Linked DNA regions of Pelodiscus sinensis. The protein of the gene in region 2 purifies or fractionates together with the protein of the main gene of each other region. This does not show direct contact. Links are inferred from orthologs where the notes say so. Each region holds a gene or a part of one and is shown on either strand. Other genes may lie near its edges.

Region 1 (15,111 bases), on a different chromosome or scaffold from region 2:
TTCCTTGGGGCACTGGACTCTGCTAAAAAGCAGGCATGCAAAATGTGAGCAAGGAAGCTGTTCACTATTTGTTCCTACTGTTTTCAGGAAAATGGCATTTTTGCATACATTCTTTGTAAATAAACAGACTTGCACCACAAAAATACCTTGCTCATATAAATAATGCAGCATGGCTCCAAATATTGGCTAGCTGCTTGGGCCAACAGGTACCACCATGTTTTTGTCCAAAAATTTAACACCAACAAGGCCAGTTTGTAAGCAAACATATCCATTTTGTACACACATCTACTTGCTTGATGTTGTAAGTAATCCTAACCATGAGAGTCCCCTGCTAGTTTCTGTAGGATTGTTTGCTCACTTTCTGTGACAACCTATTGTGTTGTTGCTGAACCATCCTCTCACATGGGAAATGTTTTTGGATTTGTGTTCTAGAGTCAGGAGGAGCAGAGTTCTATTTCAGTATTGGCAAACATGAAGTGAAGGAAAAGGTAGAGGCAAGATTAAAAAGGAACTAATACATCTCTAATATCTAGTGTCTTGTTTGTACAGCTGGCTCTGCAATGTATTACACTACAGCTGATGCACAGTGCTCAGTAATTATTTTTATGCGCTTCCTAAAATGGTATTTAGTCCCTCCAATAAAGGACCTAATTTTGCGGTCCAAGTAAAACTGCATATCCAAAGTCCACCACATCCACATGGACACCAGCTCTTCAGTCACAAGAGGATGTGTGTTGCAGTGACAGCACTCTATAAAAGCTCCAAAACTTGGGTGAGCCGCATGACCTTTTCACATGAAGCAGAACATATAGAAGGATAGCAGAGGGCATTTTCTACATATGAAGAAGCATACTTTAATTACATTTATAAATAATAATCTTTGTTTTGCACACAAACTGCCCTTTATCTTCTATCACTTTTTCAGCAAGAGCAAACAGAAGAACAAACAACATAACCCTGTCCAGTAGTGCTCCCTCCCCCTACTTCAAACAAAACAAACCCTGTTACTTGTTGCTTCAGTATTTGAGTAGCTGGCCCAATAGTTTACATCATTCTAGTAGTGTGCGGCTTTGAAATACCCCATCCCTTTCCCCTCCTCCCCCTTGTTGCCTCTTTCTGATACAGGCAGCAGGGGGAGGGCAGTGACTAAAAAAGCATAACTAAAAAACTGTTTGATAGCAGCCCAAGTATGATATGTTTATTTGAATAGCCAATAATGTTAGGCGCCCAATTTGGAAAATGGCCTTAAAGTTTCTAAATTTACATTTAGACACCTAAATGAAAATTGCCTGACTAGAGATGCTGCATGTGAGCACAATAATCAACCAGTCACAAGTGTTTTGATGTGCAGCTATTTGGCTGTATTCTCACCCTCTAACCCTGTGGTCATCAACCAGTTGAGCGCGAGGCGTTCTGGGCCTCCCATTTCCTCCCACCCCCAAGAAGCCCCACTAACTACCTCGAGCAACAATGAAGGTAGTGGCAGCTTCCAGTGGGGTGGAGGAAAGTCCTACAGCTGCGCATCACTTCCAGGGGTTCCAGAAATGCGCTAGCTGTTTCCTTGCCCCAGATCCCTGGCATTCTGGGAACTTACCGGGTAAGTCCCCGGAGGCTTTCCCTTCTCTGCAGAAGGGGGGAGTCAGGCCCAGAAGGAGCGCGTGTGCAGGCTTCCCTGCTCCGCGGGGTGGGTTGGCCCCGAGAGGTCGCATGCGTGGGCTTCCCCCCTCTGCGGGGTCGGCCCCGGAGGGAGCGCGCAATGGAGGCTTCCCTCCGAGGCTGGTGTAGGGGACTCCCTGACCCCATTGGCACCCTGTCCCCGAACCCTGTTCCTGCCCCCCAAACCCTGTTCCTGACCCCTGCCACAGAACCTCGTCCCCCGCCCTCCTGCCCCCCCATTCCCTTCTCCCCTGTCCCCCCTCTGCAGAAACCTGCCCCACCACTGGCACCCTGTCCCCTGCTGCAGAAACCTGTCACCCCCAGCCCTCTGTCCCCCACTGCAGAAATCTATCCCCTACTGCAGAAACCTGTCCTCCTGGCACCCTGTTTCCTCTCCCATGCCCTCAGCCACAGAACTCTGTCCCTCTCCCCTGCTGCAAAAACCTGTTCCCTTGCCCCTGCCCCCAGCTGCAGAACTCTGCCCCCACTGGCACCCTGTTCCCTGCCCCAGCACCCACTAGCACCCTTCCCCAGTACCATGTCCCCTGCTCCCAACTGACTTTTCTGTGCGTCAGTGACCCCTGACTCAAGACAGGTTCCCTGCCCATCTCATAAACAAAGACAATGCAGAAACTTTGTGTGTTTGACACAGTATTTTATTTAAAATGAAGCCTGGCCAACAAACCCCCAATTGGGGCCAAGCCTTCATCTGCCCACAGCCATTCCTGCATTCCCCCTTCCCCTAGACCTGAGCTTATCATACACTGGAACTTCCTGCCCTGAGCCCCTCACATACCTCAACCCAAATTCCTGCACCCTCACTCCACAAGCATCTGGCTTGCTTAGTACCCCAACACTGCCCGGCCTGGAGCCTCCTCCCCGAGCCAGCATCCCCTTCTCCACCTCCTGCTGCATCCAGATTTCCTCCCAGAGCTTGCACCTCTCACCCCTTCCCACACCCAAATCCCTCATTCCCACCCCAGAGCCTACACATCCTGTCTCAACCCAGCAAGGGTAAGGCTAGACTGCAGTTTTTCAGGATTCTGGAGATATCCCAGAAAAACTCTCCTGCATCCAGGAATGCGTTTGTTCTTCCACTTTTTTTAGTGGAAGAGCAAACATGCTCTTCTGGTCACCCCTATATTCCTCTTTCCACGACAAATAAGGGGGCTTCCAAAAGAAGGGTTTTTTCTGACATTTGGTCCAGTCTAGACAGGCCAAACGTTGGAAAAACCTCTTCCTACAGAAGAATTGGAAAAAAAAAAAAGGCAGCAGTATAAGGATTGGGAATAGCAAATGATGGAGAGCAGGAGAATAGAAAGGGGCGGGGCTTCAAGAAACGGGCAGGGAAGTAGATCTTGGCTTGGTCTGTCATTTAAAAAGTGATCTTGGGTATGTAAAGGTTGGAGACCACTGCTCTAACCTTTTCTGCATTGCTCCACAACACGCTCCCACCCCCAAACAGTTAAATCAGTCAGGGTATAAAAAACCCACATCCTGACTGACAGTTATGGTGGCAAAAAACACAGTGTAGTCACAGCTATCTCAACAGAAGAGTGCTTCTGCCAACATAGTTAAGATTGTTTTGGGAGGCAGTGTTCCTATACTGGCAGAAAAACTCCTTAGGGAGGTATGTTAGCACATATACACCGAATAAAGTCTCTCTAGTAAATGCCCAGCCTAAAATTAACTCTTAATTGAAGCTAACTGGGCCAGAAAGTAAAATTCAAGCATTTGCTGGTGGCATAGTGTTCAGCTAAAACAGGTTTTTAACAATAGGACAAAAATAAACATTTAGAAGTACTTTACAAAGATTACTATCAGGCAGTTTAGGAACATTTTTATATTATAGAACAAAAATTAAAAAAAACTCCGAAACAGTATTAATACAAAGGTTTCTATTAAATTAAAAAGAAACAATATAAAAATACATGTGGATTTAAACATATCCCTGATGTTCCTAACCCAAGCTTTGCAACATTGTTTTAGTGTTTAAGAACAAGAAAGTAAAACTGGCCACAGAAAATGTAAAACAGAAATAAAAGTGAAACTGATCAGTTGATTTCCCTTGTTATGTGCAAATTACATGCTATCAAATAAATGAAATCTTTGTTCGACAAGATGGATAAACTAAGATGTTGGACACTGATAAACAATGCCCTCCATTAACTATAACAAAAAACAGGACTATGTAGCACTTTAAAGACTAACAAGATGGTTTATTAGGTGATGAGCTTTCGTGGGCCAGACCCACTTCCTCAGATCAAATAGTGGAAGAAAATTGTCACAACCATATATACCAAAGGATACAAAAAAAAATGAACACATATGAAAAGGACAAATCAAATTTCAGAACAGAAGGCGGATGGGGGGGGAGGGAAGAGAAATGTCTGTGAGCTAATGATATTAGAGGTGATAATCGGGGAAGCTATCTTTGTAATGGGTAAGATCATTAGAGTCTTTATTCAAACTTAAGTGTAAAGCGTCGAATTTAAGCATGAATGACAGTTCGGAGGATTCTCTTTCAAGTGTAATCTTAAAAGGCCTTTGAAGCAGGATGCAGGTAATCAAGTCGTTGAGACAATGTCCTTGCTGATTGAAATGGCAGGAAACTGTTTTTTCTTTGTGATCCTGTCTAATATCTGTTTTATGGGCATTGATTCTTTGGCAAAGTGTCTGAGATGTTTGTCCAATGCTATCATGTGCCGAAAGTGTCCGTCTGCTATGTACGTTGGACAAACGTCTCAGACACAAAGAAAAAACAGTAAATTGAAAAAGCAAATTGGAAAAAAAAAAGCAAATTGAAAGAGCCAGACGAATACCTAGAAACCATCTACTTCAAGACAGACCCAAGAAAACCAACTGTAGAACACCACTTGTCATCACCTACAGCCCCCAACTTAAACCTGTCCAACACATTATCAATAAACTACAGCGTATACTGGAACAGGATACTAAACTCTGAGAGGTTCTGGGAGACAGACCCATAGTCTCCTATAGACAAGCACCTAACCTCAAGATGATTCTTACCAACAACCACAGGACATACCACACTAATACCAACCCTTGTACCTTCCCTTGCAACAAACCCCGTTGCCAGCTTTGTCCACATATTCACTCTGCTGATACCATCATTGGACCTAACCAAGTGAGTTATAAGATCAAGAACACATATTCCTGCGCATCCAGAAATATAATTTATGCTATCATGTGCCGAAAGTGTCCGTCTGTTATGTACATTGGACAAACGTCTTAGACACTTCGCCAAAGGATCAGTACCCACAAAACAGATATTAGACAGGATCACAAAGAAAAAACAGTTTCTTGCCATTTCAACCAGCAAGGACATTGTCTCAACGACTTGATTACCTGCATCCTGCTTCAAAGACCTTTTCAGACCACACTTCAAAGAGAATCCTCCGAACTGTCATTCACGCTTAAATTCGACACTTTACACTTAGGTTTAAACAAAGACTCTAATGATCTTACCCATTACAAAGATAGCTTCCCCGATTATCACCTCTAATATCATTAGCTCACAGACATTTCCCTTCCCCCCCCCCCCCCCATCCACCTTCTGTTCTGAAATTTGATTTGTCCTTTTCATATGTGTTCATTTTTTTTGTATCCTTTGGTATATATGGTTGTGACAATTTTCTTCCACTATTTGATCTGAGGAAGTGGATCTGGCCCACGAAAGCTCATCACCTAATAAACTATCTTGTTAGTCTTTAAAGTGCTACGTAGTCCTGTTTTTTGTTTCAACTACACCAGACTAATACGGCTACATTTCTATCTCCATTAACTATGATTTTCAACCTGTGTCTATCTAAATGATAATTAGCTTAAAAAATCTGTAGCTTATTATTTCAGTAAACAACACAGTGACTACAGCAATACATCTCCCCACTTTCCAATCATTTACTATTTACACATCTACTTTATATTTACTTTTAGCCTACCATCAGTTACTTACAGAGAAGCAGAGTTAGACTCGGGGTGAGCACTTCTGAAAACCCCACCTATATGTTGGCTTCTACATCCAAGTAATACTGTCAAGCAAAACAGCTGCCTTCCAAACGTACCAACAGGGGCTGAACTAAACCTCGGCGCGCCCCGGGAACGAAAGATCGACGCCCAGATGCGGGAAGTCCACACCAGCCTCAGCCGCCCAGCAGCTGCGCCAGCGGAGCCTTATCGGGGGGGCCCGAGTCGGGGCTCGCTTTCTAGCACCGGGCGCTGGGGGGAACCCCCGGGAGCGACCTGGGGCCTTGCGCGGGCGAGGCAAGTCAGCGGAGCCCCGAGGAACCGAGCCCGGAGCCGTTCGCGGTGCCGGGCCCGCCGAGGCGGGGGGACACTCTCCCCGGCCCGAGCGGCCAGGCCAGACGGCGCGAACCCCCCCGCCTCCCGACCCTGCGTCGCTCACCTGATGCTCCTTCAGCACCTGGCTGAGGCAGGGATACCGCTCCGAGACCCACCGGTAGAACTTGGGGACCCCCATGGCCGCCGCCTACTCGAAGCCCGACGGGACCCAACCAGCCCTTCCCCCTCAGCCGGCTTCCTTCCGGCGCGTCCTACTGACAGCCAGGCCGCCCAGCCGCCACAGAGCGCGGCGCAGAGCGGCCCTACAGCCATAGAGAGGCAGAGACAGAGCGTCCTTCCTCGCCCCCTTCTCCCGGCCTAAGGCGGGGGCAGCCCTCCCCGCACGCAGCTCAGCGCGCTCCCGCGGGCAAGCGGCGCCCTGCGCGGACCAGCCGCACAGACCTTCCCTCTCTGTCCCCACGCGCCCCGGCCAGGGAGTCGCAGCGGCAGCGTGTGAAGTCTGGAGCTCGGTCCCGGGGCAGCTGGACCAAGCCTTTCCGCCAGCAGGGACCCCGCGGTGGGGTCCATAAGAGAGCGAGGCTCCTAGGGGCCCGTAGCAAGACACCGTCCCCCCGCTGCTGTGGACACAATGAGCTGTAAGAGTCTGGGAGGAAGATGGGTATGAACGGGTCACCGGTTACCCAGCTTCCCTGGGCCCACCGCGCCACGGGCCGAGGCAGGAACCAGCTCTCCGCTAGCGGGCTCTGCAGTATGCCCGCAGCACATGTAACCATGTAAAGGCACGGTTTTAAAGGGCTTTCTACATCCCTACACATTCATGGCGATTTATATGCAAATAATAGAACTCCCCATTTAAATTAGATAAAATATGTGCAAAGATTAAGGGATTAAAATACAGCCCATTTGATTACTTGTATTCAAATTATGTATTCACCTTGTAATTCCAGGTGGGGATTATTTTGGAGAGGAGGAGAATAAGAACAATATCGATGGAGTATTATTTTCAAATGGTGCTCACAGTCACTAATGGTCATGGAATAATATTTTATGCTATTTGGATTTTTAGTAGAAGGCTATAAATAGTGTTTTTGTGGAGGATGAGAACTTTCTTGAAAAAAGATCCTGAGAATTTTTAGACTAGGGGAGGGATGTAAAAACAAAGTCCAGGTTAAGGAAGAAAATGAAGGGCATGAATTATCTCAATCACTTCAGTGGACTAATTCAAGAAATGCTGTTGTCTTCAGTTGGAGGAGTTTGTGTACTATAAACCTGCCTCTTGGTGACACTCCATACCATGCTTTATTAAGCAGTTTAGACTAGAGCAGAAATGGAGAAGAGAACTTTTTTTTTATTTGGGAGCTGCTGATCCACAGAAACATAAGTCAGGGGCTACACACAAGTGAAAAGCAAAACGAAAACCACCTCACTGACGTGGTCCCCAACGGAGGAGAAAAAGACATTCCCTTCACATGCCAGAGACTAGTGGGACCCAGACTTGTAGATTTTGTGTGCTCTAGTCCCACACTAAAATGATGGGAGGGCTGGTGCGCCAGCACATGCTCCCCGATGCTGGGGGACCAGCCCCGAGGGCTAGATGCAGGCAAACTGGTAGCCACTGGTAGTCGCAGGTGGCCCCCAGGCCTTAGGTTTCCCATCCCTGGACTAGAGGAATTAAAATAGGTCAAATAGGTGCCACTGTTTGATACAATAGTTTAAAATGCCTGGTGCCTTCTCAGCAAGAACAATACTTTAGAGCAGGGGTCTCCAAACTTTTCAGCCCGAGGGCCGCATTAACTATCAAACAGCAGTTCAGGGGCCGACTACACACTTGAGGTCCAAATAAAAAACAATCAAAACATGGATGTTGTTTTTAATTATTTATTTAATATTATTTTATTCAGTTATTATTTAATAACACATTGATACACTACACATGAACACCTGTATTAGTGTGAATGGTGAAATTGTTTCCTGGATGCCAAAATAGCAGACATTTCTGGCTTTAGATTTGTTGTCCCTAACATCAACAGTGACCTGAGATTATCATCGGACAAGTTTGTTCTCAAATTGTTCTTCACATATTTCATTCTTGAAAATGTTTGTTCACACAGGTATGTTGTTCCAAAGATTGAAAGGTACCTTGATGCAAAAGTTTTGACATTAGGAAAGTCTTCCTTGGGCAAAAACTGGTAAAAACCCACCAGTTCTATTTTGAACTTGTCCCTAAGGAGGTCATTTGCTTGCAACTCAATGACTTCCAGCTGCAGTTCATCTGGGCAACTGGCCACATCTGCTTCAAATGGGTTTTGAAACAATCTCACTTCTTCTGCCTTTGAATCCAAGTCAGAAAACCGCTGCTGAAACTGCAGCTGGAGGTCTTTGATGATCTCGCATGCAAATGACGTGGGGAACTCAGCTGTTGCTTCAGCCATGAAGACCTTGCACTGCTGAAAGTGCGTCAAGTTGTTGGCCTGTACTTGTTCCAAAAACAAGACAAGTTTGGATCTGAAGGCCTTTAGGTGGGTGTATAGATCAGAAACTAGATTTTGCTCTCCTTGTCGTTTTAGGTTCAGAAAATTTAAATGACTAGTTATGTCTGCAGCAAAAGCCAATTTCCATACCCACTCTTCATCAGACAGTAATGGCTGTGGCTTGCCTTTACTTTCCAGGAAGTCACCTATTTCCTTTCTTAACTTAAATACTCTGCTCAGAACTTTCTCACAACTTAGCCATCTTACTGCTGTGTAATATGGTAAATCTTGCGATTCTGTGTCTGTATCTTTCAACATGTCTCTGAACTGTCTATGGTTGAGCCCATGTGACCTTATTAAATTCACCATCTTCACCACAGGATTCAGTACACTGCTAATGTCCACATATTTAGCACACAAAGCTTGCTGGTGAATAATACAGTGCAGGAACATTGGTTGTATAATGTTTTTCTCATTACACATCTGCTTCACTTGTCCAACCAAGCCTTTCTTTATGCCACTCATGTTCTTTCCTCCATCAACAGTCAGGCAACTGAGGTTAGTCCAGTCCAAGTTATAATCAGCAAATGTTTTTTTCAACTCATTGAATATATCCTCTCCGGTAACAGTGCCATACATGCTATGTAGGGAAGCCAGCTCTTGTGTTATGTTCATGTCTTCATCCACACCTCTAATGAACACAAGCAGTTGAGAGGTGGAGCAGCTGTCCAGCGATTCATCCATTGCAATTGAAAAATGGCGAAACTTGCTTGCATTTTTCGCTATTTGAGTCACAATGTTTTCACCCATGTCTGCAACACGGCGGGCAATGGTATTCGCACCCAAAGCTACATTTTCAAATTGTTTTGACTTTACTGGGCAAAGTTCCTCAGCCACTTCCAACAAACATTCCTTCACTACTTCACCATCTGTAAAGGGTTTGCCACTTTTAGCCAGGACGTAGGCAACTTTATAACTGGCCTTAGTTAAGGATTCATTTTCATTTGAGGATTTACTGAACAATGTCCTCTGAGATGTGAGTTGATTTTGTAATTTAGAAAATTTTTCGGCACGGACTTTACCCTTCAACTGTACATATTTCTCCTGATGTTTGCTTTGATGATGACGGCGCAGGTTGTATTCTTTCATCACAGCCACGGTTTCGTTGCAAATCACACACAATGCTTTCTCGCCGGATTTGATGAAGAAGTATTTCAAACTCCATTCTTCTTGAAATTGCCGACACTCATAGTCTATTTTTCTTTTCCTCTTCTCGGCCATCGCTGGGCACTAAAATAAAGTGAATTAAACATGAATAAATAATGAAACTGAAAGTATCTTGCACACAATATCGCTCAAAAAACCTGATTATGCGAACTAATTTTGTCGCAATAATAGCTGCAAATGACCCGAAACAATTTTTAAAAATTCTTATGATTTCTTAAGTTAAACTTACCTGAATATAGTGTGCAAATATATCCACTTATGGTAGAGAGATTGTTGCTTTTAATGTTTCCTCTTCAGAATATTCGCCTGCGAATCTGTTTCTCCCGGAAGGGGGGGGGGGGGGGGGCTTTTCCCCCTGCTCTCCCCTTCCTCTGCACGCTGTCCTCCCCTCCTGCTTGCCACCGCTCACTCCTTTCCCCCCCCCCCGGGCGGAAGGGGTCACCTTTTTAAAGTTCCCGCCGGGGTTCACGTTCCCCCGCACGTCGCCGGGCGGGCGTTACCACCACCGCCCATCCTGCCCCCTGATTGGCCGGCTGCCCTGTCAGTCTGGGCGGGGGAACGCCGCCCGTGCTAACCCCCGCCCCCTGCGCCGTTTGCCGCCGCGCGGCCGCTTGTCAGCGGAGCGGCCCGCTTCTCCTGCCCCGGCGCGGCGTGAGTACACGCCGCACACCCCTGACAGGGCCCCCCCCCCCCCCCGCGGCAAGAAGGGCCCGTTCGGCGGCGCCCCAGGGACGGGCGGGGGTCGCCTCGTCACACCGGCACGCGGAAGAAGGCGGGGCCAGACAAAAAGGTCTCCACGGGCCGGATGAGAGGGCCTCGCGGGCCGGATGCGGCCCGCGGGCCGTAGTTTGGAGACCCCTGCTTTAGAGAAACCTAGGTGAGAATGAAGACTGCAAAAAAGCTTTTCATTTTGGAAAATCCTTCTGAAATAGGTACATGAATACAGTTACAAATCCCATTTCAACCATGCGGATACAAAATTTATTTTATATACAATATCTTTTAAAATATCAACTCAGGTTTCCTACAAAAGAAAACTTATATATAACATTTTATAAAGCTAATTTAGACCCTGCTCTGATACAGAAGTGAACATATACATTCATAAATATCATAGATGAGTGTTAATTATACAGGAAATACACAACTGCATCAGGGAGACGACTGTCAATTCTGTTCACTAGTTCATGTATTGTATTCTGTATACATAAAACTGTATAAATACAAATAAAAGTATGTGTCTTCAAACTCAGAATGCAAAGAATTCATTTATATATGTATACAACATACACCGCCTATGTACAACAACTTTACAGTATATATTACATAGGCTGCACATTAAATTGCAATTTAGACATACACAAAATCAGAATCAACAAAAGTGGTAATTTTAGAAAATTCTTCAGTGACTAAGAAAGAATTCAATAACTTTTTGGTTAAAAAAAATTACAGAAGCACAAGTTGTGAAGGCAGTATTTCACATGTACGGAGCCCAGCCCAGGTACATCTGACAGAGCAGGTTCTCATCATTTGCTTCTTGAATGAGGTAATGAACGTGCCCTTCAATAGACAAGGGCAATCCTTTTACCCGGTTCCTAGTCTTAATCACACCCTGAAGCCGCTGTTCTATGTCAAGGACATGAGTCTTTGCCTATAAACAAGAGAAAAAAACCTTACAATTCATATAGCTATGTATTTGTCATATCTGTAATAGAAACATTTCCTGTTCTTCCAAATAAACTTTTGGCCAATTATAGCTTGTATTTCAGATCCCACATAAACAGATTTAATATACAAATATCTATGAACTTTTTCTGAAAACAGTTGGATTTCCTTTTGTCACTTTCTTCATTCTCAAGAACTGCTTGCTTTTTGGACAAGCTATAGCCTTTACATTAACTTTACAACTAGATCTTAAAGATCGAATGAATTATTGCACATCCTCTTGAAGCAGATAGCAATGAAATGTGTTTCATTCTATAAAAATCATTTCATTATCACCGTATATACATGTGGCTCAGTAACAAAGAGCCCACGAGACAACTAATCAAAAGAGCATGTTCCAGAAAATATTCAACCTTCTTATGTTCAGAAAAGCATTTTTTTTTTGTTTTTTTAACTTAAAAATGGTGATGGTGGGGAGGAGGTAGGTTGACTGTTACAACGCAAGCAGGACTGTAAACATTTTCCGCTGAATGTCTTCCGCTGAATGTAAAAAAACAAAACAAAAAAGACTGGAAGTATGGACCAGACTTGAGCCAAAAACAATATTTTGACTAATACTCAACCATGAAATTAGGCAAAATACACAACTATTATCATGAGGTCTTGTCCTTGAATATCATCAGTTACATCATCAACCAATGAGAACTGATTCTCAACTTACAATGAAAGGAGCTCTATATTCTCAGGCATAAAGGGAAACAAGAAGACATTCTATAAATATATTATAAGCAAGAGGAAGACCAAGGACAGGGTAGGCCCATTGCTCAGTGAGGAGAGGGAAACAGTAACAGGAAACTTAGAAATGGCAGAGATGCTTAATGACTTCTTTGTTTCCATCTTCACCGACAAGTCTGGTGAAGGAATGCCTGACATAGTGAATGCTAGTGGGAAAGGGGTAGGTTTAGAAGATAAAATAAAAAAAGAACAAGTTAAAAATCACTTAGAAAAGTTACATGTCTGCAAGTCACCAGGGCCTTATGAAATGCATCCTAGAATACTTAAGGAGCTGATAGAGGAAGTATCTGAGCCTTTAGCTAGCATCTTTGGAAAATCATGGAAGACAGGAGAGATTCCAGAAGATTGGAAAAGGGGAAATATAGTGTCCATCTATAAAAAGGAAATAAAAACAACCCAGGAAACTACAGACCAGTCAATTTAACTTCTGTGACAGGAAAGATAATTAAGCAAGTAATTAAGGAAATCATCTGCAAACACTTGGAAGATAATAAGGTGATAGGGAACAGCCAGCATGGATTTGTAAAGAACAAATCATGTCAAACCAATCTGATACCTTTCTTTGATAGGATAACAAGTCTTGTGGATAAGGGAAAACTGGTGGACGTGGTATACCTAGATTTTAGTAACGCATTTGATATCGTCTTGTATGATCTTCTTATCAATAAACTAGGCAAATACAACTTAGATGGGACTACTGTAAGGTGGGTGTATAACTGGCTGGATAACTGTTCCCAGAGAATAGTTATTAACAGTTCACAAACCTTCTGGAAAGGAGTAACAAGTGGGGTTCCGCAAGGGTCTGTTTTGGGACTGGTTCTGTTCAATATCTTCATCAACCATTTAGATATTGGCAAAGAGAGTATGCTTATTAAGTTTGCAGATGATACCAAGCTTGGAGGGGTTGCAACTGCTTTGGAGGATAGGGTCATAATTCAAAATGATCTGGAGAAATGGTCTGAGGTAAACAGGATGAAGTTTAATAAGGACAAATGCAAAGTGCTCGACTTAGGAAGGAACAATCCGTTTCACACATACAGAATGGGAAGCAAATTGTCTAGGAAGGAGTATGGCAGAAAGGGATCTAGGGGTTATAGTGGACCACAAGCTAAATATGAGTCAACAGTGTGACACTGTTGGAAAAAAAGCAAACATGATTCTGGGATGAACTAACAGGTGTGTTCTGAGCAAGACACGAGAAGTCATTCTTCCGCTCTACTCTGCATTGATTAGGCCTCAGTTGGAGTACTGTGTCCAGTTCTGGGTGCCACATTTCAAGAAAGATGTGGAGAAACTGGACAAGGTCCAGAGAAGAGCAACAAGAACGATTAAAGGTCTAGAGAACATGACCTATGAAGGAAGGCTGAAAGAATAGGACTTGTTTAGTTTGGAAAAGAGAAGATTGAGAGGGGACATGGTAGCAGTTTTCAGGTATCTAAAAGGGTATCACAAGGAGGAGGGAGAAAACTTGTTCTTCTCTGTGGATAGAACAAGAAACAATGGGCTTAAACTGCAACAAGGGAGGTTTAGGTTAGACATTAGGAAAAACGTCCTAACTGTCAGGGTGGTTAAACACTGGAATAAGCTGCCTAGAGTGCCTGTGGAATCTCCATCTCTGGAGATATTTAAGAGTAGGTTAGATAAATGTTTATCGGGGATGATGTAGATAGACAGTACTGGGTCCTGCCATGATGGCAGGGGACTGGACTCGATGACCTCTCGAGGTCCCTTCCAGTCCTAGTATTCTATGATTCTATAATAAGATCACTCATTTATCGATCTCATATATTGTATTACATACAAAAAACTGTACTAAAAGAACATTAAGATCCCAAAGTCAAACTCTTTAAGAGTTAGGAAATGCCAGAATGAAGATTGACTGTATAAGTTTAATTTAGCTCCCTTATACTAACTCAACCCCACTATGATACAGACTTGATTTATATGCTTGATGCTGCACATCAAGGATCAATGGATCCTTTTCCACAGGAGCTCATTTACTGTATATGACAGACCTTTTCTGAGGATCAGTCAGGGTTGTGAAATGAAAGAGGCTTCTCTGTATGGCCCTGCCTCCTTTGTTGCAGAAGTCAGAAGATATGTAGTGAATGAATAAGGTGATTACAAGAGAAAGGCTGGTCTCATAGTTAAGGCAGTTGAGTACTGCCTGGTAAGACAAAATTCTACTATCCCTGTCTGTGCTGTGGCTGTAAACAAACTTTATGAGACTGCAGGAAACGTGGCCACACCCCATTGTAAGTGGACAACTGGCTAACTAAAACTATGTCAAACCACAGACTAGAGAGGTTCAACCTGTATCTTAGGTTCCATTCCAGACTTTTGAGGGGACTCTGTTCTAGCAGGTTAAGATACCCTGATGATGGAAACGGTAGAATCTATAGTACAGACACAACTCAAGTGGTATCATTACTGTGTCATCTATTGTGAAAGCTCTACAATAGTTATGGGGTTAAGCAGTATTTTCTGTTTAAAAGTCCACTCTTGTAAGTACTGTAAAATTCATGTGTTTATATAGATTGTCTTGAAAATTGCTGTCTCTCATGGGGATGCTAGCTAGAATTCATGATCTAAATTTGGATAATTTAAATAGGAGCTTCCAAGTTATGGTCCTCGCCACTTACCCCCAAAATCATAATGGTAAAAATTAATGAGTCTTTTCTTCACTACAGCTTCTATTATAGGTGGAACTGTAATTATGCGTCCTAATTTTACCAGTATAGTCTAGACTTAGAGAGTGATACTAAAAAGATACAGTAGATCTCATGAAGGCTTTTATTGAAATACCAGTCTCATATTTGAAGGATTAAACAACAGCAAAGAGATAATTAATAAAAAACCAACTAGAATACCTTTAGAAGAAAAATACAAGGAAAGTAAAGTCTTGCATAAATTAGAACAAAACAACTGATACTGTGAAATATAAAATAATTAAATGTTAGTTTGAGAGTAGATC
Region 2 (15,029 bases):
AAGTGCGTAACCATACAGTCTTAAGCCAGTTCTTTGGCTCTCCTGTGTCAACCGGGCTAGGCAAACATTTACAATCTTGAAAGCCCACTAAATGCTTTAGTTCTAACCAATGTTCCTTCTAATTTTTTCCACCCATGTACAGAATAGTATTTTCTATGTGCACCAAGGCATGTACAGATGTGCACCACCACTAGACCCACATGGTGCCAACTGTGGGCACGCTGCTGATCACTTGGGTGGCGTTTGAATCTCTCCTGGGCAGATGTTCCCTGGAAGCAGAGCAGATAGTGCTCTGCTTACAGGGAACGCTGGTTTTAACTGTTCACTCCTATTATGTCTCTTGCAACTGACAACTGGTCCAAATATTCCTTGGCCATAAGTCTCTTCCTTGCTCCTTCCTTCGGCAGCCAAATGTGGAGGCTTGTGGCTCATATTTTCCTGTATTAAATTAGACTTGAGTGGTTTAAGCTTTTTCTTAGTCTTCATTTTATGCAGAAACACAGAGGAGGGGATGCACCCAGTTGACAATCACGGCAATATGTATGAAGTTACCTTCTGTCATAATACTTGCTAGTGTGTCAACCATCACTGAGTCCTTCCAGCTAAAAATGCCAGCTGAGTTTCCTCTGGGGCATGTAACCCCAGCTATCTGTATGGCCTGTAGAGCTATGGGTTGTGTGCTTGTCTCTAAATTCCCACTCTAGCTCCATTCAGCCTCTGAACTTCCCCTGTGGTTTGAATTGGGTATGGGCTTCAAACTTTGTTGTAAACCAGCATGTAGTGTTCTTGTTGCTATGCCTTCAGCTGCCCACAGCCATCCCAGAGGTGGCAGCATTTCTGTGGGGAAGGGATCCCTGTACATGTTGAGTCCTTCTAGATTTTCATAGGAAACAAGGTGCCACGTTAACTAGATTGCATCAGTCACATTGCTTACTACTGGCTAGCCTGTAGGGGCCAGATTTTCACAAGTGCGCAGAACTCAGGTGTTCCCATTGAGACACGGACAGGCTTCCAAGCTCTCTTGAAAATATGGCCACTCATTTTGGTTCCTAAATGGGAGGAGTTCTCTCCTGAAAACAGGCGCTCTCGCTGGCATGCTCACTGCAGTGTCTTAATTCCTCATACTATTTAGCGCTCTAACTTGCTGGTCACCTCAATTGTTAATGGGTAACAAGGAATAGGAAATTAACAGCATGCTACTCCTATTACTGCTTCTCTGCCGTAGGAAGAGCATCACAATGTGCTGTTAATTCCATAGGAGAAGGATTAGTCCTTAGCTGAAAGTCCCTTTTGTACAAAAGGGCCTTCATGGTCAGGGACTACTGTCATCAAACTATTGCTTTTTGATCTCAGGATGGGAATCCCTCTTTTCTGCTATTAGACCCTAGATCTATCTTCTTCCAGTCCATTCTTGAATTAAAAGGCTGGCTGTAACGGAGTTAACTCTCCCTAATCAAATCTGTTCTGCTGAAAGATCCTGCCTCTAAACCCAGACATCCCTTGGTCTCTGCATCCAACTCTGTAACTTGCTCTTGCAAGCGAGCTACCTAAGTACTAGGCTCAAGGAGTGATGCTTCCAATCAGCTGCTTAACTTCTGACGTAGCAATAAGTATCTTCCCCCAGGTCGATCAGCTCTCGGTCCCTATCTGGCAAAAAAATGCAGGCCAGTTCCACTCGGTGCTATTCCAATGTCAACTGTTGCACAGATGCTCTTGTGCTGCTGCCTGCATCTCATAGCAAGTGTTGGAGTGACTTCTGAAACAGCCCCCTATGCATGTAGGGGGACTGCTTGGAGGGAGGAGAGGGGACGTTGCTGCCCCCTCTAAACAATTCTAGGTGGGGAGGATGCATTCTACAAACCCAAGTTTTTCATTCCAGAGAGTGTCTTGTTCTGCCTGCCCTGAGTGAGACTTTTGGGATCCTCTCAGGGTACCATGCTTGGTTGGAACATCATGTTGGCCTTAATATTAGCAGTGTTAATAGCCATATCAAAAAGATGCCTTAAGAAAATTCCCAAATATGATGCTTGCAGACAACCCACCTCATCCTTATGAATGATCGCATGTTGACTAGAGGATGGAAAAAGGGAAAAACATGTTCCTTGCTCCTAAGAAGGGAATAACTGGCTTCTATTTACACTAAGATGTGTTTTGAACATCTGCCTCCGCTCCTGGCGTAACTGGCTTTAGAGTCTTGCAACCCTGTCCCTTGGTGGCAAATATGTAGTGCAGTTGTAGCTACCTCGGATAGCTCTCTGGCATTGTCTTAACAGCAAATGATAGATTCTAACCCTAACTCAAATTGGAAGGGGAGAATTTCTAAGCTAGCCTGCACCATGGACTTGAAAACATCAGTCTGCAAAAGCAGTCGGCTGTGACTGCCTCGCCCTGTCATGCCAAAGCTGCTGTCTCGGGAATGGGCTGGAAGACTGTTGTGCTGCTTCCCACTGAAATAGGGTGACCTGTTTACCTCTTGATACTCTACCTTTGCTCCAGATGTGACCCTTCTTGGACTACCTCTGGGTCTCCGTCCACTGGAGATAAATATGAAAATGTGCCATAGCCGTTAGCGGGTTTAGCAGCAGAAAATGGAAAAAACAGCCCTGCTTCGGTGGTTGAATGATAGTTTACCCAGTGCTTCAAGGCAGGACTTCTGTGTATTTACAGACGACAACGTGTCTTAAACTGACCCGCAAGGCTACGGCGCTCTCCAAGTCAGCTGTGTGGAATAAGATGATACATTCAGTGTAACTGTACTGTACGATGATGGCTTGTTCTGATTGTACCTGTGACCAGTGTGTTAATCAATAAAGATTTTTCACAAACATTGTTTGCTTGGGCTCAAGCCAAGCACGTGCAGACTAGATCAGGGCTGGCTGGGTCCTAATAATGGAAAAATTAGGAAGTTGGAAGGGGGGGGGGGAAGAGTACAGAATAGCTCAGCTTAATTAAAGCACTCCTGCCCTTGGGTGTGAAATAGCTCATCCCACCCACTTGGCTGCTAAGCAGGAAACCGGCCTCGGGGACTTGGACTAAACCAGTGCCCTGCTCGCAAGGGGGGCGGGCCTGAATGTCTGTCCTGTCCTCACAAGCTGAGTTTATAGGGCTATGGCGCTTTGCAGGGGATTTGAACAAAGATCTCGGGCCTACCTAAGTGTATTAGGTGACATCTCCTAAATCCGAGTGGTGACAGCCAGCTGCTTTCAGCCAGCAGTGCATGACAGGCCGTTCCGTTATTCCTCTCAGCTGCCAGCTTTCACAGGCTGCCTTCACACTGATGGGGTGGATGCGTGGGGGCGGGGTGTCTTGAATCGGATCATTTGACGGTTCTGCTGCCATGGACTCGCATCCCATCTCCTGTTGGTCCCGAAAGAGTGGCCCGAAGGGAGGGTGTATTCCGTGTGACGGTGCAGCCGAAGTGCAAGGCCCAAGCCTGGAATGTGGCTATAACCCTGCTGCTGGACGAAGGGCGCTGTGGGGTCCCGTCCCAGGCAGGGGAGGAACTGCCTGGATTTGACTGTGACCCAAGGAAAGCTTCTCGTTGGGGTGAAACAGCATCTCTAAGGATCACGCGCAAGGGGAAGATCAAAGTCTTGGGATTCACCGCAGCGTTAAAAAGCAGCTCGGATCTCTCAACGTGCCATCGGCAGGTCCCCCCAAACACGTCACCTCCGTTTCTCCTTGTTTGTACATCTCTGCGCCACAATCCGTAAGTGTCAGTCTACTGCCACCCTTTACCTGCGGGGGGGGGCTCAAACTCATGGCCTGTGCGATTGCGCAACACGAGGACTCCTAGTGGGCCTGTTGCCAGCCCCCAAGCCTGTCACTCCTCTCCCCCCTCCATAGCACCCTGTCCCCAGAGCATGTGGCTTTGGGAGGGACCCAGCGTCACGCAGTGGCAGCAATCATGCCTCCCCTCCCCTGCAACTTCCCTGGGGGGCAGGAGCTGCAGGTTGGGGGAAGAGGGTGGGACAATGGCAGGAAGGGGTGGGGCTCAGGGCTGAGAAGACAGGTCCCCTGGGAGGGCTGAGCCAGATTGCACAATCACTCCAGCTGGGATGGGGAGTTGGAGACCCCGGCTTTATTCCCCCATCCCCCCACCTGTTGCAATGGGCGCTGAGAAACCCAGTGTAAATAAAAGGCTTTCTCCCGCGTGGGCACATCAAACCCCTCCACACCAGGCTCTTGTCATGAATTTCAGGCCGTTTACTCAGTCGCCAGATCCCCCAGCTGGGAGTCCAAAGGAAGAACACGCACTCGGGTATCCGTGACCCAGCCGGCAGCAGGAAAGGAAGCCTTGCGCTGTTGATGCCTTCTCTGTTGCCCAGCTGGAAAGTGATGCAAGTGCTGCCTGCATGCAGCTGAGACCCTGCCTGCGTCTGAATGTAGCTTTTGTAGGGGCAGGGGCAATAATTCTGGAAGAGGGGCCACTTCACAAATTTCGGAAGTGGCTGTGGGCTGCCCCGGAAGGGGAGGGCCCGCAGGCGGAAGGAGTGAAGTTGAGAATTACCCTGCTGGGTGCGGTGACCTTATTTTCTGAACCAGCTGCAGCTAGGGAGAACAGTTTAATTGAAATTATGAAATAGATTACCTACTTAATAACCACTGAAGGTGCTAACAGCTCCCTGAGTGGTATCCTTCCTGTCTTAGGAATCTGTCTATTGACTTTGATTTTTTTTTTTTATCTGCTTTGGTTTAAGTACCCATTCTCCAGATTTTTAATGATGCTCTGTTTCCCACTCCCCTCCCTTTTTCTTTCTCTCTCCTCTCCTCTCCTCTCCCCTTCCCCTCTCCTATTTATTTGGAGTTTTCATATCCCCAATTCATAACTCTGGTCATCTGAAGAAGTGGGCTGTGCCCACAAAAGCTCATGATCCCATCTACATATTTCATTAGTCTATAAAGTGCTACCAGTGTTTTTAACTTTCTCCTGTTAATCAAACTTTGTTTTAAATAAAGTAAAATGTTATGTCCAACACAACAGGTTTCAATGTTTTCGTTATGGGAGAGGTGAGGAACCCTTTTTGAGCCTGGGGTTACTGACCTCCCCTCCAAAAAATCTGGGCTTCCCATAGACCAGATTTACTGTTCTGGAGTTAGTGGATTTTATGGACCTCCTTAGGCTCTGGGATAGGGACAAGAATGAGGAGTACAGTGCGTGAGACAGGGCTGCCAGCGAGTGAGGTAGGAATGGGGTGCAGGATCTGGGTGGGAACAAGGGTGCAGAAGCAGGCTGGGAGTAGGGTGTGTGGCCAGGAGGAAGGAGCAGGGACAAGGGAGGGGATTGGAGCAAGTTGGGGGTTCTAGATCTTGGGGAGGGGTTCTAGATCTTGGGATGGGGAAGTGATGGGATTGGGGTGGGGGGTCTGGACATGAGGAAGAACCTTACCTGGCTTTGTGCCCCCTTGCAACAATGGCTGCCGCCATGCGATCCAGGGATAGCCCCAAGGCACACAGCCTGGGGCCAGCCTCTGGGGCCAATGGGCACAGGCTGCCCCAGAGGTGCTGCAGCCCGGGGCAGGTCCTGGAGGCACCACAGACAGAGGCCGCCCCAGAGGCACTGCTACCATGGCCATGTGGCTTGGGGCCAGCCCCAGAGGCACTGCAGCCACGTGGCCCCAGGCCACTCCAGAGGTGCCACAGTCTGGGACTGGCCCCAGAGGTGCTACTACCACGGCCATTGTGCCAGCCCTGGAGATGCCGCTACTGTGGCCAGGCGGTCGGGGGCCGGCCCTGGAGGTGCTGCCATGGCCGGGTGTCTCCAGCCTCTGGGGATAGCTCCAGACCACATGGCCATGGTAGTGGTGCCTCCGGGGCCGGCCCTGTTACGGAGCCTCAGCCCCAGGCTCTGTCCAGTGCTTCCACTTTGAAATGAACAAGAGCCCCCGCGGGGGACGTTTCAAAGGCGGAACGTGGCAGTTCTCGACTAATCAAATAGTCAATGGAAATCCTATTGACACTTTGATTAGTTAATTAATCGAAATTTAGCATCCCTAGTACATACCAGGTCAGCGCCCAGACTACTGTACTAGGCAACATAGTATAGGAAGGAGATGGGCAGCCCTCAGTGGAAAAAGAACAGGATAACTATTTAGAAAAGCTAGACATACACAAATCCAGGGGGCTGGATTTAATGCATCCATGGGTGCTGAGGAAGTTGGCAGATGTTTCCAAAGGCTCTGCAAGGACTTGTGGCGATCAAAGGAGGTCCCGGGTGCTTGGAAAAAGGCATATGTGGTGCCCATCTTTTAAAAAGGGAAGAAGGACAATCCAGGGAACTACAGACTGCCCGGTCAGCCTCATGTCAATCCCTGGAAAAATCATGGAAGGGATTCTCAAAGAATCCATGTTGAAGCACTTGGAAGAGGGGAAAGTGACCGGGAATAGTCAGCATGGATTCACCAAGACCAAGTCATACCTGACCAATCTGATTGCATTCTATGACAAGGTACCTGGCTCTATGGACAGGGGGAAGTCAGTGGATGTGATAGACCTCGACTTTAGCAAAGCTTTTAAAACAGTCTCCCACAATATTCTTGCCAGCAAGTTAAGGAAGTCTGGATTGGATAAATGGACTGTAAGGTGGAGAGAATGCTGACTTGATGTCTGGCTGGAAGTCGGTTTCTAGCAGAGTGCCCCAAGGATCCATTCTAGGGCTGGTTTTGTTCAACATCTTTATTAATAACCTGGATGAGGGGATGGATCACACCGTCAGCAAGTTTGCAGATGACCCTAAGCTAAGGGGAGAGGTAGATACATTGGAGGGCTGGGACAGGGTCCAGAGTGACCGAGACAAAGTGAAGGATTTGGTCAAAAGAAATCTGATGAGGTTCAACAAGGACAAGTGCGAAGTCCTGCACTTGGGACGGAAGAATCCCAAGCATAGTTACAGGCTGGGGACCGACTGGCTAAGTAGCAGTTCGGCAGAAAAGGACCTGGGGATTGCAGTGGATGAGAAGCTGGATATGAGTCAATAGTGTACCCTTATAGCCAAGAAGGCTAATGGCATATTAGGCTGCATTAGGAGGAGCATTGCCAGCAGATCTAGACAAGTGATTATTCCCCTTTATTCAGCACTGGTGAGGCCACAACTGGAGTATTGCATCTAGTTCTGGGCCCCCCATTACATAAAGGATGTGGACACATTGGGGAGAGTCCAGCGGAGAGCAACCAATATAAGTAGGGGGGCTACGAGGCGAGGCTGAGGGTTCTGGGCTTGTTTAGTCTGCAGAAGCAGAGAGTGAGGGGGGATTTGGTAGCCTTCGGCTCCCTGAAGGGGGATTCTAAAGGGGATGGAGAGAGGCTGTTCTCAGTGGGGGCAGATGGCAGAACAAGGAGCAATGGGCTCAAGTTGCAGTGGGAGAGGTCTAGGTTGGATATTAGGAAAAACTATTTCCCTAGGAGGGTGGAGAAGCGCTGGGATGGGTTCCCTAGGGAGGGGGTGGAATCTCCATCCCTAGAGGTTGTCCCAGCTTGACAGAGCCCTGGCTGGGATGATTTAGTTGGGGTTGGTCCTGCTTTGGGCAAGGGACTGGGCTTGATTTTTCTCTTTCAACCCTGTGAGTTGATGATTCAGAGCCAGGAGAGGCAGGAAGCTGACTTAGCACCCCTGCTGCACCGCTGACCGGGAGCCGCTCAAGGTAAGCCCCTCCTGCCCCAGCCCAATACCCCAAAGCCAGAGCCCCCTCTTACTCTCCACAGTTGAGTTGCGGGCATCAATAATTTTCTTCGACTGGGTCATGAGAAAAAAAGTTTGAAAATCACTGAACTAGTTGCTCCCTGACCAGCGAAATCAAGACAAGATGGGACTGCAGCGGAGAAATTCTCATGGTTAAGTCAAGGTAGAAACCAGGGAGGAAACCCTGGGACTTCTCTCCCTAGTTCAGCCAAATCCTGTGCGTATGTCTGCAGTGCACTAAGAGCTGTGGCTGGCCCGGGGCAGCAGACTCAGGGTTTTGTGCTGTAGGGCTGTTGCACAGCAATGTGGACAGTTGGGTTTGGGTTGGAGCCCGGCTTTTGAGTCCCCGGGGGGTGGGGAGGGTACCAGAGTGCAGACTCCACTTGAAGCCTGTGGGGCTACGCTGCAATCTTATGGCCCCAGCCTGAGTCAGATGGCCTAGGTCCCCATGTGCCCTAGATGCATGAGTGGCCCTTCAGAAGCAAGGAAAGGACCCAACATTCTCTTTGACATGGTACCAGAATTTCCCCAAGGGGCTTAGGTGCTGCCGCTGCTGGTCTTGAAAGACCCCTGAGCTGGATGGGCCAAGGCCCGTCCAGGCAGGTGCTGCTTTCGCAGTGCAAGGCCCAGTGCAGAGATTTGGATTAACACGAGTGAGCTGCAGATCACGTCTCCACGGGGGCAGTACAGCAGCTGCCTCCAGGTGGGAGCCTGGATGCAACATCTCTCCCAGGAGCAGTGCGGTAGGAGCCCCAGCACGGCACCTGCACAGGAGGGAAACGAGGCAAGAGCTTGTCCCCCCGACTCCCAATAGCTTCACCCCGCAACAATACCGTCAACCCCTCTTCTCCCAAGGTCGTCTGCACCCGTAACAGCCCCCTACCCTGCCCTATGTAATGGCACCCCCAGAACAGCCCCCCATTAATGGGACCCCCACCCCATAACAGTCCCTCACCCACCATATCAATACCCCTGCCCCGTAGCAACAGCCCCCGTCTGACAACACCCCACCCCATAACAATACCCCTACCCCATAGCAACAGCCCCCGTCTGACAACACCCCACCCCAAACAATACCCCCTGCCCCGTAGCAACAGCCCCCGTCTGACAACACCCCACCCCAAACAATACCCCCTGCCCCGTAGCAACAGCCCCCCGTCTGACAACACCCCACTCCATAGCAACAGCCCCCGTCTGACAACACCCCACCCCATAGCAACAGCCCCCGTCTGACAACACCCCACCCCAAACAATACCCCCTGCCCCGTAGCAACAGCCCCCCGTCTGACAACACCCCACTCCATAGCAACAGCCCCCGTCTGACAACACCCCACTCCATAGCAACAGCCCCCGTCTGACAACACCCCACCCCAAACAATACCCCCTGCCCCATAGCAACAGCCCGCCCAGCACCTGCGGGCCGCGCCCCTCCCACATGGCGCTCGGGGGGGGGGGGGTCTCGCCCCCGGCCCTGGCTCGGCCGGAACGCGGCTGCCCGGGGCTGGTTTCCGCGGGGGCCGGCGGCGGCCGGACCGGAAGCGGAAGTGGAGTCGGCGGGCCGGGCTCGGGAGCGGGGCGGCAGAGCGGGAAGCGGGCCCATGGCCTCCGCCAGCATCGACATCGAGGACGCGACCCAGCACCTGCGGGACATCCTCAAGCTGGACCGGCCGGCGGGTGAGGGCGCGCCCGGCCCCGCCCCGCCGCGCCCCCTCCCTCCCCGCCTCCGTGCGCGCGCGCCGGGGGCGGGGCTGCCGCAGGGGCCGAGGCGGGAGCTCGCTCCCCTCTGGGAGACGGGAGCGCGCCGGGACCGCCCCCCCCCGGGCTCGGGCTCGGCCTCGTGCGGGGAGACCCTGGATCTTCCGCCTAGCCAGCCCCGCGTGTCCCCCCCAGTCCTGCCCGGCCCCCCCCCAACACCGTCCAGTTCTGCCAGCCCCCCCCCCCGCCACTGTCCACTCCTGACAGGCCCCCTCCCAGCCCCCCCCCCCGCCACCGTCCAGTTCTGCCAGCCCCCCCCCCCCGCCACTGTCCACTCCTGACAGGCCCCCCCCCACCCTCCCAGCCCCCCTCCGCCACCGTCCAGTTCTGCCAGCCCCCCCCCCCGCCACTGTCCACTCCTGACAGGCCCCCCCCACCCTCCCAGCCCCCCTCCGCCACCGTCCAGTTCTGCCAGCCCCCCCCCCGCCACTGTCCACTCCTGACAGCCCCCCCCCACCCTCCCAGCCCCCCCCCCCGCCACCGTCCAGTTCTGCCAGCCCCCCCCCCCGCCACTGTCCACTCCTGACAGCCCCCCCCCCACCCTCCCAGCCCCCCCCCGCCACCGTCCAGTCCTGCCAGGCCCGTTCCCATCGCGGGCAGGTTACATTTTCAGACACCTTTGTGCTTCTCCCCACATCACCACCGGGGGGGGGGGGGTGCTCCCTTTGAACACCCCATTCAGCGACCTCATTATCCTGCCGTCAAATCTCTCCTTGACTCTCAGCAGGGAACTTGGTGACTGCAAGGCTGCTGGAGTGCAGAGAGCCTTGCTTGTCTCATGGTTTTCCTTGTACCTCCTCCCCCTCCCCTCCCCCGTCTGTATTATACCGCTGTTCTCTCTCATTTTATATGGCATTTGTAAGCTCCTCGGGGCGGGGGTTGTTTCGTCGTTCTGTGCCTACCACAGTGAGGGATCCTGATGCATGCAGTGAAGGCTTCTAGGTGCTACAGTAATACAAATGAGATCACAATAATTAATAAGATCTTAACTGTACATCTGCACCTGCTGCACCTCCAAAGCCCCAGCCATTTCCAGCTAAACTCTGCCTAGCCATGCTACGGCAGCCACACGCCTCTCTGGGAAACAGTTCCAACATCTGGGTAGTACTCGGTATCGTGGCGTCTGGGACAGGAGCACCCTTGGATTCCTGGCCTGCGCTGCTCCACTCCTGGGCTGGGCACCGTGTGCTTAGACTCTGACTCCATCCCAGCATATTGGGTGCTGTCTTGATCCATACAGAGCCAGGGTTTCTGTGGGCCTTGGCGCCAGACTGAAATCAAGGTTGCCCTCAGTCTGCCTCCCTGCAGCCCCGGGACCCCTGTTCACCTGCTGGGGTGGGCCGCAGCGAGGCGAAGCGTGTGTGTGTGTTGCGCTTGCCATGGGGTGTGGGAGGCCCAGTGAAGCTTCCTTTGTGCAGCTGAGACGCTCACGTCGGAGCCCTGTCGGAGCGGAGCTCCTCGCGGTCCCAATGTGGCTCTTTGATAGCTTTGCGTTGTGCAGGTGCAGATGTGGCTGCCCATGCGAGTGACTCTGCATCCTGTGAATGTTAAAATCAGCGAGGGACGGTTCCCAAACGCCTGATCCGGCGTAATCTCATCAGGTTTCTAGCCTCTCCAGCTACGTTCTCTCCTCAGTCTCTGGTTGGGTATGTAAGTGAAGAGCGCTGGTTTGGCAAAGGGTTGTATCGGCTTCTGTTTTCTAATAGTCAGCTGCCAGCTAGGGCCTTCGAGCGACTGCGGGCGTCGTCTGATGTGCTCATCTAATTCCCGCACCATTTTAGGAAGATGGTAGTAGGCACGTGGGGGTGGGCTGACTGCACAGTCAACCCTGCTGGATTCGCTCTCTGTACAACGCTTCTGTTTAGTGGTGTAGAGCTGACCATTAGTGTCCCTGACGTGCAAAAGCTTCCGATTGTCCAAGTAATCTGGAAACAACTGCCCTCCTGGTTTGTACAGGGAGGCCTTCTGTTTCAGCTTTCCTGGTATGAGCCAAAGGATGCTTATTAATCTCCACCTGTGGGCTGTAGGAGTAGGGATGGTAACTATCGGTTAATTGAATAGTCAAGTAACCTCATGAATTCTTATCAGCTACTGGACTATTCTGTAGTATCCGGGGGCGGGGCTGACAGCCAGTGCACTCTGGTCCCACTCCTGAAGAGCCCCCTGCCACTCTATACTGCTGCCTCTGTATCAGAGGCAGCGGCGCGGGGTGCCAGGCGGGAGCTGGTCCTCAAGGGAAGCCAGTCTAAAAACCAGCTCCCCTCACGGACCAGCTGCCTGTCGCCCCGAGCTGCTGCCTCTGACACAGAGGCAGCAGCACAGGATGGCACTGGCCCCTGTCCAGGAGGGAGCTGAGCTCAGCACAAGCCGGAACTGAATGGGTCTGCTGCCCACCTGGCTCCTAGTACACTTTAAATGCAGAGCCGCAGCAGGCGTAGGTCCCAGACCCGTTGCAAGGGAGGAATGAGCCGGCTGCTGGCCAGCCTGCTAAAAAATTTACTGGCGGGGGGTGGGGGATGCGTGTAGTCTATAGTTAATCAGTTAATCAACAGCACTATTACATCCCTATTTCTTTGCTGTAGTAAGAGGGCAGGTGGGGGTTGTCGGGAGAGGAAGGGTGAGCAAGGGACTATCGGTAGAGCCTTGTATGGATTCAAAATTTGTATCCACGTCTGTATCCTCAAAGGTGAGCCGTGGATAGTTGCAGATTTGCAGGGCTCTGACTGTAGAGGTCAGATGAAGGTTGGCTTGAGCTTCTTAACGGACTTCACTAGCTTATTTGTTTTTCCTCCTCACCCCGCTGTTCCAGTTGTTTGAGAGTTTTTCTTACTACAGGCAGTCCCCAGGTTACGTACAAGATAGGGACTATAGGTTTGTTCTTAAGTTGAATTTGTATGTAAGTCGGAACTGGCTCCAGATTCAGCCGCTGCTGCTGAAACTGACCAGGGGCTGACTACAGGAAGCTGGAGGCAGAATTGCTCTGCCCCCAGCTTCCTGGAATCAGCCACTGATCAGTTTCAACAGCGGCTGAATCTTGAGCCTGGGACAGAACAGCTGGGCTGCCAGGTAGGTCCCTGCAGGACCAACCCGGCAGCACCCCAGCTGCTCTACCCCAGGGTCCACAACAAAAGCCTGGTCTGCTGGGGGGGGGCACTAGCTGTGCCCCCCCCCCCCCCCAGCAGACCAGGGAGACGGGGAGCAAAGCCGCAGCGGTGGCGGGGTGCTGCGCCTCTGAGGCTTTGCCAGAGCAAAGCCTCAGAGGCGCAGGACCCCTCCGCCTCCCCGGCTTTGCTCCAGGTGTCCCTGGTCTGCTGGAGACGGTCCCCAGCAGACCAGGGGCACCCGGAGCAGCTTTTCTCGCCCCGGAGGTCGAGGTGGCGGGACCGCTGCGCTCTGGGCGGTCCCGCTGCCTGCGAGCTCCGGGGCGAGAAAGCCCTGTTCGTAAGTGCGGATCCGACGTAAGTCGGGGACTGCCTGTACTCTAATTATTTGGCTGGATTCGTAACCTAAAGAAACTCTGCATTAGAGCTGCCATTTGACTGAAGATCGTCCCGTGTTCTGGGACGGGGAGTGTTTGCTCTTCCGATCCAAAAGCAATCGCTCGCAGCTGTCTCCATAGATTGTTTTCTGGGCAGTATCAGCATAGACCGGCACTGCTCCATCAACAGCTCAGATGTCACCCGTTTCTAACCTCAGGTTCTCAGCTGGGTTGTCTGAGCTGGCTACTCTCTCTCTCTAGGTATCCAAGTCTCTTAACTCCCTCTCATCCAGATAGGAAAGCTGGTCCTGCCACAAGTCTCATTTTCTCCTTAAAGGGGGAAGCAAATAATCCCTCTGTGAAATCTGCCCCTGCCTGTTAGGTTCCTACGTCCCTGCTGGGGGTTGTGTTGAGTGATCAGTTTCTTTTCTCTGGGGAAGCGTTGCTTCCATGTGTTCTGTGCCACTGGCCAGGGTGAGGCTTTTTTACCTCTTCTAATATAGGTTGAATGTTTCTAGTCCGACACCTTCAGGACCTGACCGGTGCCGAACTAGAGAGTTTGCTGAACCATGGGAGGTCAGTATGGTCTAGCAGCGTTGCCAACGCTTCTCGGAGCCCAGCAAGCAGGGGAAGACATTTAAGGGTAAATTCGAGCTAAATAACAGCCCAGAACCCTGCGAGCCAGGACCGGTGGCTGTAAACAAACTTTATTTGACTGTGGGGAATCTTGGCCACACCCATGCTAAGTAGACATCTGGCTAAAATCCTGCCGGATCACGGATGTTGCCGGTCTAGAATGGACTCATGCTTGGAAAGGAACAGACAGGGCCCAGCTCTGCCCTACAGACCAGCGTAGAAGTGTGATCCTTAACTGGACAGCTATGCTGGCAGGAGCCCCTCATGGAGACGCAGTTACTGGCTCTTGTGAGGAGATGGGTTGTTTCCTTCCTCTGAGTAGTTTTCCAGCCCCAGTGCGTAGCACAATTTTACTGGGGAGCTGTGTCCACGTTAGGGATGCTTGGCCAGTGTAGGATCCTGCTATTCTGACGCCCCTCAAGTGTTCCTAGGCTAGACGTACCCTGCGTTTAAACAACCGCTTCTTGTAGCTTAGGGGACTTGGCAGCTTCTGGTGGGAGTCCACCAGATCTTTGTTCATGGGCTGTGCTTGTCTATCTGATCTCTGAGGGTCTCCATACCTTCTCACACCCCCTTTCCTCTCCCTTGTTGCTCTTTCCCGAAGCTCTTCTACATCTCAATGCCGGCTGCTGGACTAGAAGTTGCTGGTCAGAATTGCTTCCTGAGTAATGGGTTGTGAGGAACCCTTGCATGTTCGAATTGGCTGCTCCGTGGCCCGGAACGATTCCTTTGCCACGCTGACCTCTGCCCTTTCCTTCTTCGCACTCCTGGGAGGGAGTGGAGAAAGGGCAGCTTTGCACTCCCACAGGTCGCTCACGGGTGCAGAGCTACATCCGCCCGGCTGCTCTTCTCTAGGGATCCTCCTGTAGCCTGAGCAAGGCAAGTCTTCCCCACCCTCCTGCCAAAGGCAGCTCGCCCTGTAGCTACCGGAACGGGTGCTAGGTGGCCGGGCTTTCCACACCCGCAGGCTTCCTTGCACTCTGTCCCGAGGGGGAGGGCGGTGGCCTCCCAGCCCAGTGCGGGGAGCCAAAGCCGGCGCAGAATTGGGAAGTTGTGTGGAACTTGGAGGGCGAGTAACCACTGGGCCCGTCTTAACGAGGTGGAGGTGGCAAACGGTGGCAGTCACATGGTTGCAGCCGGTCTCGATTAGGGAGGTCAAATCCCGTTGAATTAGTTCACCCGTTCAACGTTAAGTTTCACTGGTTGACTGATTAAATGGGGGTAAGTGGGGGCGCCCCCACGGTCGGGCTGGAGCGGCCTGCAGGTGAAGGCTGCTGCGGCCCGGCTGCTTCCGACCCGTGGCCTTTAAGGGGGATGCTTACCGGGTAATCAGTTGCCCGTTCCCATGCCTAGTCTCGGCGCTGGAGGCATTGCCTGTGCAGCAGAGAGTAACGGGAGTTTAAAGAACTAGACGGACCAGGATGGAATGGGCTAGTGTTATTGCTTGGGCCTCCAGACGCTTTTCGATCCTCATCAGGGCGG

The links.
Region 1: the proteins of EDC4 (region 2) and XRN1 purify together in Homo sapiens (co-immunoprecipitation; 4 studies listed by BioGRID and IntAct, with this or other methods). This does not show direct contact. The link is inferred for Pelodiscus sinensis from reciprocal best matches to the Homo sapiens genes EDC4 and XRN1.

Annotation. Positions count from the first base shown.
Region 1 is NC_134720.1:21,385,383-21,400,493, forward strand, and holds the start of XRN1 (5'-3' exoribonuclease 1), read right to left. Parts: upstream 6,405-15,111; 5' UTR 6,158-6,404; coding exon 6,083-6,157; intron 1-6,082. Other genes in the region: serine/threonine-protein kinase ATR, read right to left, coding at 11,155-11,328. UniProt on the Homo sapiens protein: Major 5'-3' exoribonuclease involved in mRNA decay. Required for the 5'-3'-processing of the G4 tetraplex-containing DNA and RNA substrates. The kinetic of hydrolysis is faster for G4 RNA tetraplex than for G4 DNA tetraplex and monomeric RNA tetraplex.
Region 2 is NC_134722.1:46,918,493-46,933,521, forward strand, and holds the start of EDC4 (enhancer of mRNA-decapping protein 4), read left to right. Parts: upstream 1-9,196; 5' UTR 9,197-9,276; coding exon 9,277-9,352; intron 9,353-15,029. UniProt on the Homo sapiens protein: In the process of mRNA degradation, seems to play a role in mRNA decapping. Component of a complex containing DCP2 and DCP1A which functions in decapping of ARE-containing mRNAs. Promotes complex formation between DCP1A and DCP2.